2 linked regions of the Daphnia pulex genome follow. The protein of the gene in region 2 interacts with the protein of the main gene of each other region in a pairwise test. Links are inferred from orthologs where the notes say so. Each region holds a gene or a part of one and is shown on either strand. Other genes may lie near its edges. The genes, in order: frizzled-1-like and protocadherin-like wing polarity protein stan.

Evidence for each region.
Region 1: the proteins of protocadherin-like wing polarity protein stan (region 2) and frizzled-1-like interact in binary tests that used the Drosophila melanogaster proteins (3 or more experiments, as listed by UniProt). The link is inferred for Daphnia pulex from reciprocal best matches to the Drosophila melanogaster genes stan and fz.

What each region holds. Positions count from the first base shown.
Region 1 is NC_060020.1:4,095,892-4,099,811, reverse strand, and holds the start of frizzled-1-like, read right to left. Parts: upstream 2,540-3,920; 5' UTR 2,131-2,539; coding exon 1,605-2,130; intron 1,536-1,604; coding exon 1,144-1,535; intron 1,069-1,143; coding exon 868-1,068; intron 802-867; coding exon 579-801; intron 496-578; coding exon 359-495; intron 291-358; coding exon 159-290; intron 73-158; coding exon 1-72. Other genes in the region: lethal(3)malignant brain tumor-like protein 1, read right to left, coding at 3,122-3,277, 3,340-3,757, 3,824-3,920. UniProt on the Drosophila melanogaster protein: Receptor for Wnt proteins.
Region 2 is NC_060028.1:10,555,832-10,559,651, reverse strand, and holds part of protocadherin-like wing polarity protein stan, read right to left. Parts: intron 3,744-3,820; coding exon 3,489-3,743; intron 3,405-3,488; coding exon 2,973-3,404; intron 2,738-2,972; coding exon 2,644-2,737; intron 2,400-2,643; coding exon 2,310-2,399; intron 2,087-2,309; coding exon 1,890-2,086; intron 1,793-1,889; coding exon 1,583-1,792; intron 1,506-1,582; coding exon 1,319-1,505; intron 1,241-1,318; coding exon 291-1,240; intron 149-290; coding exon 1-148. UniProt on the Drosophila melanogaster protein: Involved in the fz signaling pathway that controls wing tissue polarity. Also mediates homophilic cell adhesion. May play a role in initiating prehair morphogenesis. May play a critical role in tissue polarity and in formation of normal dendrite fields.

The sequences.
Region 1 (3,920 bases), on a different chromosome or scaffold from region 2:
AACAAATTTGATCCACTGTGGGTCACGGCATTTGTCCTCTTGCCATCTCAACATCCAGGAATCGAAGAAAGCCTTTATATAGATAAAAATACATGTTAGAATATTTATAGGTGGTTGACGTGAGAAGAATTTCGCCGAAAGGGAAACTCACGACTGACCTGTTCGTGAAGAAGGCATGCGATAACAATGATGGCCGGTACTGTGTATAAAAAGGAATAGATTCCAATGCGCAGCATGAACTTTTCTAGCTTATCCGTTTTGGTTCCTCCGCTCTTCATCAACGTTCTCACCTATAAAAAATTCACATAAAGAAAATAACAACTTTGTTATGGAAAAGAATTCAACAAGACACACGTACCCGAAATAGAGAGATGAATCCGCCCAATAAGAAAATGGTGCCGACGATGAGGAAAAGGAATAGAGGCGCCAGTACGAAGAGTCTTAAGGCAGACATATCCCAAATGCCAACCGAACACACACCGCTCAACACGTCGCCTAAGGGTACGATACCAGTAGAACAGCAAAACGGATTTAGAAAGAAAAATACAAACGAGTCTATTTGTAAGCAACACACACACCTTCGACTTTGCCCATGGCTAAAATGGCGATGGTCAGAGCAGCAGGGAGGGCCCACGTCACCAGATGGAAATAATGAGACTTGGCTTCGATAGGTTCGTGACCCCACTTGAGACCGGCTGCGAGGAACCAAGTAAGCGTCAAGACGACCCACCAGAGATTGGCAGCCATTTCAAAATAGTAGAGCAACATGAAGAGGATTGTGCAAGATTCGCGTTTCGTTCCCTATGGAAAAGTTGAGATGATGAAAACTGAATGTGTGGCTATTTTTAAGATTTTTATATACTGCACCTGGGTGATGGTTTCAACCATGTCGGCTTTATCGACTGAAAAATCTTGTGGCGGATCAAATGGCGCATTACACGATACAGAATCCCCCATGGCGTATCCTATGACGTAGGCCAGTGCCACCATAAAATAGCACACTGAAAGGAAGACGACGGGCCGCTCAGGGTAGCGGAATCGGCGTACGTCCAACAAGAAAGTCAGAACCTGAATTTTTCAAAAAAAAAGAGCATTAATTACCACCTGCATGTAAAACATTGATAAAATAGCTGGAATAATTACAGTGAAGAGACAAGATGCCATGCAGATGGCACCCCAGACCACGATCCAAACACGTGAAAAACGAACTTCGCTTTCGTTGAAGAACATGCCCTTACAGGGGGCACCGCAATCCGGATAGACTTTCCCTCCGACCCGAACGACATAGTCAAGACCTTTTGGCACCCGGAACTGAGCAGGGCAAATAAATCCATGATCGCGAGAGTAGTTGCTATTGACTGAGGTGAATCCTGATCGGATGCCACTTGGTCCCCCGTACCAATTGGAGCCTGCGCCATAGCCTGGAGGACTACCACCAACAACAGATCCGCCTGGTCCTCCAGGATAGACACCAGGGTAATTGCCTAATTCATTTAGAGGATTTCTGGGATAGTTGGGTACTCCACCTAGTCCACCTATACCACAAAAAGTTGTTTGTTCCAATAATTTTTTTAATTGAAAATTTAGAAATAAAAGTAGCTTACCTGAAACTTTGTAAGGAGGCCTGTAGCCATCATTTCCACCGTGGCTAGTCCCTGAGCTTGTATTGTTTTCTCCAACACATAGTTCTCCAGCTGCACCACCTTCAGGATATCTGCTGCATTCTAAGCTTTCCGGCCACTGAAAACCAAACTTGTTCATGAGTCCCTCACAGCCACTGCGAGCTGACAAGCAGAGGGAACGACAAGGAGGGATGGGCTTGTCCAGAACCGTGCACACAGGAGCGTAGACAGAGCAAAGGAAGATCTGCAAGTCTGGGCTGCATTTGACCTTCACCAGTGGATAAAACTGGTGGACTTCCAGTCCAGCATCTTCTTGTTTTTGGTGGTTAAGCAGGTTTGGGAAGATAGTCTCATTATAAAGAATATCTTTACACAAGGGAATTGTGATGGCTTCACACCTGCCATGGTGAGGCAAACTGTCTCGATCAGAAATGGTGGAGCTAACAGTTACAACAGTTAGCAACAAAGCCAGGATGGAGGCGAAAATAACACTTTTGTAAAGAGACATTTTCTGATTGAGATTTTCGGACGGAACAATCGGTATCTTGATTTAGTCAAATGCTGGTTTAGCCTGCCCAGCAGTATAGGTTCCTTGTAGGGAGAGACGACTTTTCAACCCCTCGAGCAACAGACGCACTTTTTTTATTCGAAGGGGCCAACCAAGATGACTGACCTCTTCTTAAGAGCTCTTCTCAACAATAAATACCACTACACTTTCTTCATTTTGCCATTGAAACAACCAATACTGTGTATACTTTCTGCTAAAATGCAGAGTTTGCTCGTTTTTCTCAATCTATTTCCCTGTAAAACATCAAACATGCCACTAAACGCAAACCAACGTCAAATGTCTCAGCACTCCACCTTGAACACTGAAAAGCCACACCAAAGCACCAGCCACAAAAAGAGCTAGCTTCTTAAAGAAGTTGCTCTTTTCTCCGCCAGAGCACCACCCCCTTTTTTTCCCTACTGCTGGTGTCGTGTTTGGTTCTTTTGTCCTGTCCTCTTCTGTTAAAGTCATCAGGTTTGTTATCGCCAGAGGCTATATCGAGGGGTCATCAATGTCTTTTTTTTACTCCCTTTTTTGAACAGTTGGTGACAATTTTTTCCGTTTCGTTTAACTTTTCGTTCAGTCTTAATGATGCAAACTATTTTAAAAAATATGCAATCACTACCATCTGGTTGACGTCTGTCTGAAAACAAAATCAATGAGACGCGCTTTTGGATCAAGTATGTGGGGGGAAAAAACGAGTGGCTTCTTGCAAAAACAAAGACACATATCAGTGTTTTTATTGGACTTGACACGAAAAATGTAAAAAAAAGGAGAGAGATAGAAAGAACTGGAAAACTGAATTTTAATACACAAAAAAAGTAAATTGTGTGCAGTCGGGATTGAGAATCATTCGAGCTAGAGGTTATCTCGATTCGTTCATGGTACATCGCATAGAACAAACAAACAGGATGAGACAACCATATAATTAAATTTAAATTTTATTATTAGTCTAAGAATGCGACTCGTTGGCGGGCATTGCAGATTTGGCCTTTTCTTTCATCAAAAGAAGAGCGTTGCGAATCTTAATGGCCGGTCCCAACTTGACACCAAGCAAATCGGTAAGATCGCTTTGAGACAAAAACAGGAGCGCCTCTCCATCAATTTCCTGTAATCAAAACAATTAAAATAAATACCGTATAAACCAAAAAATTTAGCAGTTGAACAGACCTCTTGTTTGAATTTCTCCAACATGACTTTATTGACACCGAATTTGGCCAAGAAATCCATAACTTGATCGCAAGACCAGCGAGTCACTTGATTAGATGTATCGATCCCAACAACATCGCCGAGGAGTGCGGCATGTTTGGACCAACACATTGGCGTTGTCAGATTGGAATTGGCAGGGAAGTTCATCATTGAATAGCCTGAATGCACCGATTTTTTCGTTGGCACGGAACCGCTCATTGAGGCGTCAAGTTGGTCATTAGGACCTCCCAAAGAGTTACGGCTCGACTCTTCCTGTTGTTTGCGTTCGGCAACTGGAAGGCTTTGATCGTTTGTCACATCACCATTGCCTTCTATTGGAGCAGATTTCCGCCGAACAATCTCACTAGCTGCTGTTTTACCCGTAAAAAAGGAAATTCTCCTAAAAGGAAAAAGGCAAATAAATGAATTGTGTCACTATTTGAATTTCTTTTCAACTTGTACTTACATTTTCTTGGGTGGTGGTGGTGTAAGGGCCTCCAAAGAGTCGTATTGCTGTTCTAGTGGAGGACTTTCAGGTCTGAGATCAACTTGGATAAGTCGGT
Region 2 (3,820 bases):
CCACTGAATAGTAGAAGCTCATGTGGCCATGATTGACGTCACGCAGTTCGGTCAGCATTCGGTACAAGTGAATCGATTCGATCATCAGCCAGGAGAAGATGCATAACCACAGGTAATGCAGACCCATGGCCAGCAATTTACAGACAAACTGTTCAGTCGAGGATGGAAAGAAAAGAAAAATAAAAGGGGAAAATCGTTAGAGCGTTGCTTTGTAGTGGTGGGTTTTTGGCCAGGAAAAAAACAATTTTTGTTGTGTAAATTATGTTTCGGTCAGAGTGGCCATCACTCACCTCGTGATGTTGGACGGTCCCCCGCAGTTTCAAAGCCAACAAAAACAGCAACTGAGCCAAGAGGAGGCAAACGACGAAGTTGCGGTGAATAGAGTTGGAGTTGGTCTGCTGTTGGCCGCTGATCAAACTGAGACAGATGAACGCCACGGCCAAGAAAACCACGCTGGCCACCAGACCGATGTAAGTGACCACATCTTCGATCAGCGTCGGCTCTCTGGCCATTGTTATGAATTCCTCTTTGTTCATGACGACGGCCACCGGTCCCAAACTGGAACAGGTGCAATTGACGTGAAAGTCTTCCTGGTCGTAGAACCACGGGTCGTGGAAATCGGTTCGGCAACCCTCTCGACTCCAGGCGCCTTTGATGGCCACAGCGGGCCCCGGTATTAATCCGCCTCCCGATCCTGTCGGCTTCCAGTGAACGCACTGCGGATTGGCCCGCTGGTTGACGTAATCGACGCGGATGCGATACTTGATTGCCGGCCCGTCGGGCTGATCGGTGACGATGTTTCCGTCCACTGAAAGAGCGGCGAAGCCCATCGTGGTGGACGGAAGAGTCAGGTCCACTCCGTAGCGCTGCCTCAAATTGGGCTCGAACACTTGTGGCAAGATCTCGCCAGCTGTCCGATAAATCGCGTAGCTCACAACGGATCGTTGAGTTTCACTGCTGGCGCGGTCTGTGGTCTTCTTGGCCGACGGAAGCCGGAAGCCCAGCAAGTTGAGTGGCGTGAAGAACTTTGAGGTGCGATCGAAGAGCACCGGATTTTTGACGTAGTTGTTGTATTTCGGGAAAATGGCGTTGATCGAAGCGGGTCTCTCTTTGTTGACAATTCCGGCGGATGCTTCTTCAATGTAACGGCTAGTGTCCGGAATCACAATCTTCTCCAAACCGCCCGATTTCAGTTCTTGACCGATAATTTGTTCCGTGCTCAGAACGTCCATTCCGAAAACTGCCGGCAATTTTAAAAGTAGAAAATTTGAATAAATTACTTCCCTTATTTTATTTTTTGGGGTAATAATCTTCTTACCCATATTAGGAGTGACGACTTCAAAGGGCAAAGTATAGGTGCTGTTCTGTTGACGAGCCAAATTAGCCGCATAATTTTGGAAGGCCATTAGTAAAACTTCGGCTCCGTAGCCGTGAACTTTTTCGATTGTTCTCCAGTGTCCGACATACTGCATCTGGAACAGTACGCTAGTGGCACTGACCAAATTCTGTTGAAATTCCAAACCCCATCATGTTAAAAAATTTGTTTTTTAAACTTATCGATGCAACAATTTTGAATTATTACCCTGATGAAATCTTTGTCGTGTCGATGAGTCAGATTGAATCCCTCTCTGTGGGTATCGTGTTCCAAGATCTTGACCAGCAGCTGTTGTCCAATAAAGATATCGCTACCGTAAAGTTTGGAACTGTGATTCGTGGCTTTGAACAGCTGCTGGGCCAGCCTCACCGAAATGAACGGGTTGAGGTTCAAATTGCCCTGATCCAATCGTTTCAACTGTAGATGATGATGTAATCATGACGGATGATGATCTATTATTATCTAATGTACGGGATTGTTTTGCGCACTCGCGCAATTATTCAGACACACGTACCATTTCGCGGAGATCGACGAATGGGATGGTGGTGCAGTTGAACAGGTCGGCCGGCATCCATCCGACTTCCTTGTCGCAAGTTTTGTACGCCTGTCCCAGCGATCCGATTGGGCAGTCCCTGGAAGTGGTCAGTCCGTAGAGGGTGCGGTCGAACCAGATGCCCGAGTCGAAACTCCTTGGGCAAGCGTCGTAGATCACTAACGTCGTTAAAAAACAGAGAACAACAAAATGGCGGTATCTTAGCGCGGGGTTTTTATATAGACACACACACGGACGATGAGTTGAGAGGATAGGGTGTAGTTATTGTTGTTGTTATTGCTCCGGCCGTCATTTGTCGGTGCAAAACGCACAGCTGTTTGTGAGCTAAAGAAGAAGACGAAAGAAAAGGCTGCATACAGATGAGCCTGTTTTATTCTTTACCTTCGCATCCGTTGAGCGTGACTTCGGCGAAAAGGTTGGGGCAAGAGTCGCATCGTCGGCCAATGACTCCCGGTCGGCACTTGCATTGACCTACAGGGGGTAGTATAGAGAATGGACGGGAAGAAAAAAAGAAATGTAATAACCGGTTGGGAAAATATGATTGTGTTTGTCTGCTGTGCGGGCAATCATTTTTCCACATTCTCGTTTTCTTTTTTTCAACGGGTATATCTTTAATTTTTCCTTTTCATTCTTTTATTTTTTGGAAGAGTCGGATGCTGGACAGGTGGGTGGAGTTTAAAAAGAAAAAAGACTTCTCTTATTTGTTCCCTCTTACCGGTAAGGGCGTCACACTTGGAGCCAAACGAGCCCGTCAGGTAGCAATTACAGTCGAGACATTCCTCCTCGTTGACCGGCTGGTAGTGATTTTCCTATAATATTCGTATATTATACACCCCGTGAAAATGTCGACAGCATTAGAAATGCAACTCTCGTCTCGTTTCCTATTCTTAGATTTATATATTTATCCTTTTGTCTCGTGCGTTTGTGCTGCGCGTTCAACCGAATAACATGCGGGATGAGCGCCGCGTGTAATTGCACGGACAAAAGGGAAAAGAAAACTTTTCGACTTTTAAAATGGATGGATGCGGTCGTTTTCTTTCTTACCTGACACACGCACTGGCCGTTTGTTTTGTTGCAGTTGGGATCGTAGCCTTTGTCCGTGTCGCAGCGACACGGACCGCAAACCGGATAACCCCACCAGGTTGCCGGGCACGGCTGGTCCAGGGTCACTTCGCAGTAATCGCCCGACGTGTCGCCCTGGCAACCGCACTTGTAGCCGCGGCGATTCGACGTGTCGATCTGGCAGGTGGCGTTGTTCTCGCACGGATTGTACTCGCAAATGTTGGCGCAATCCGGGCCGACGAATCCGGAATCGCAGGAGCACTTGTGCGAATTCCAGGTGTCGGCGCAGGTGCCCCTCTGAGGGCAGACGTCGCTCTTGGCCGTGCAAGAATCGGACGAGCTGCAGCCGTCGCTGACTCGATATTCCACCGACGATTTCAGCCACAAATTGCGTTGCTGATCGATTCTCACATCCTGGACAGAAATCATTTATACATTCAGTTGTTGAGAGAGACATTATGGGAGGGTTCTTTTTTTTATTTTTTACGAGTTATCTACCTTGATGCAGCCGATGAATCCGGTGGAGTTGGTCGTTTCCAATCGGCCCAGAACGACTTTGGTCGGCATCAAACCGGTCAATTTGGAATCGACGGGCACGGTTTTCTCGTAGAGGCCGTAGTCGGTGTTGAGCCAGAGTTCACCTTGCATCCACTTGAGCTCGGCCCAGTGCCATTTGCCATCGTTGAGCGGCTCCGTGTCGGCCAATGTGAACTGGCCCGATTCCCACGCGACGCTCAATTTCCCGCCGATGGTCTGCGTCATAATAATCAACGGTTTTATATCTCTCCATTGTTGTGTATCGTCATGGTGATATAACACGGTGAATTTTC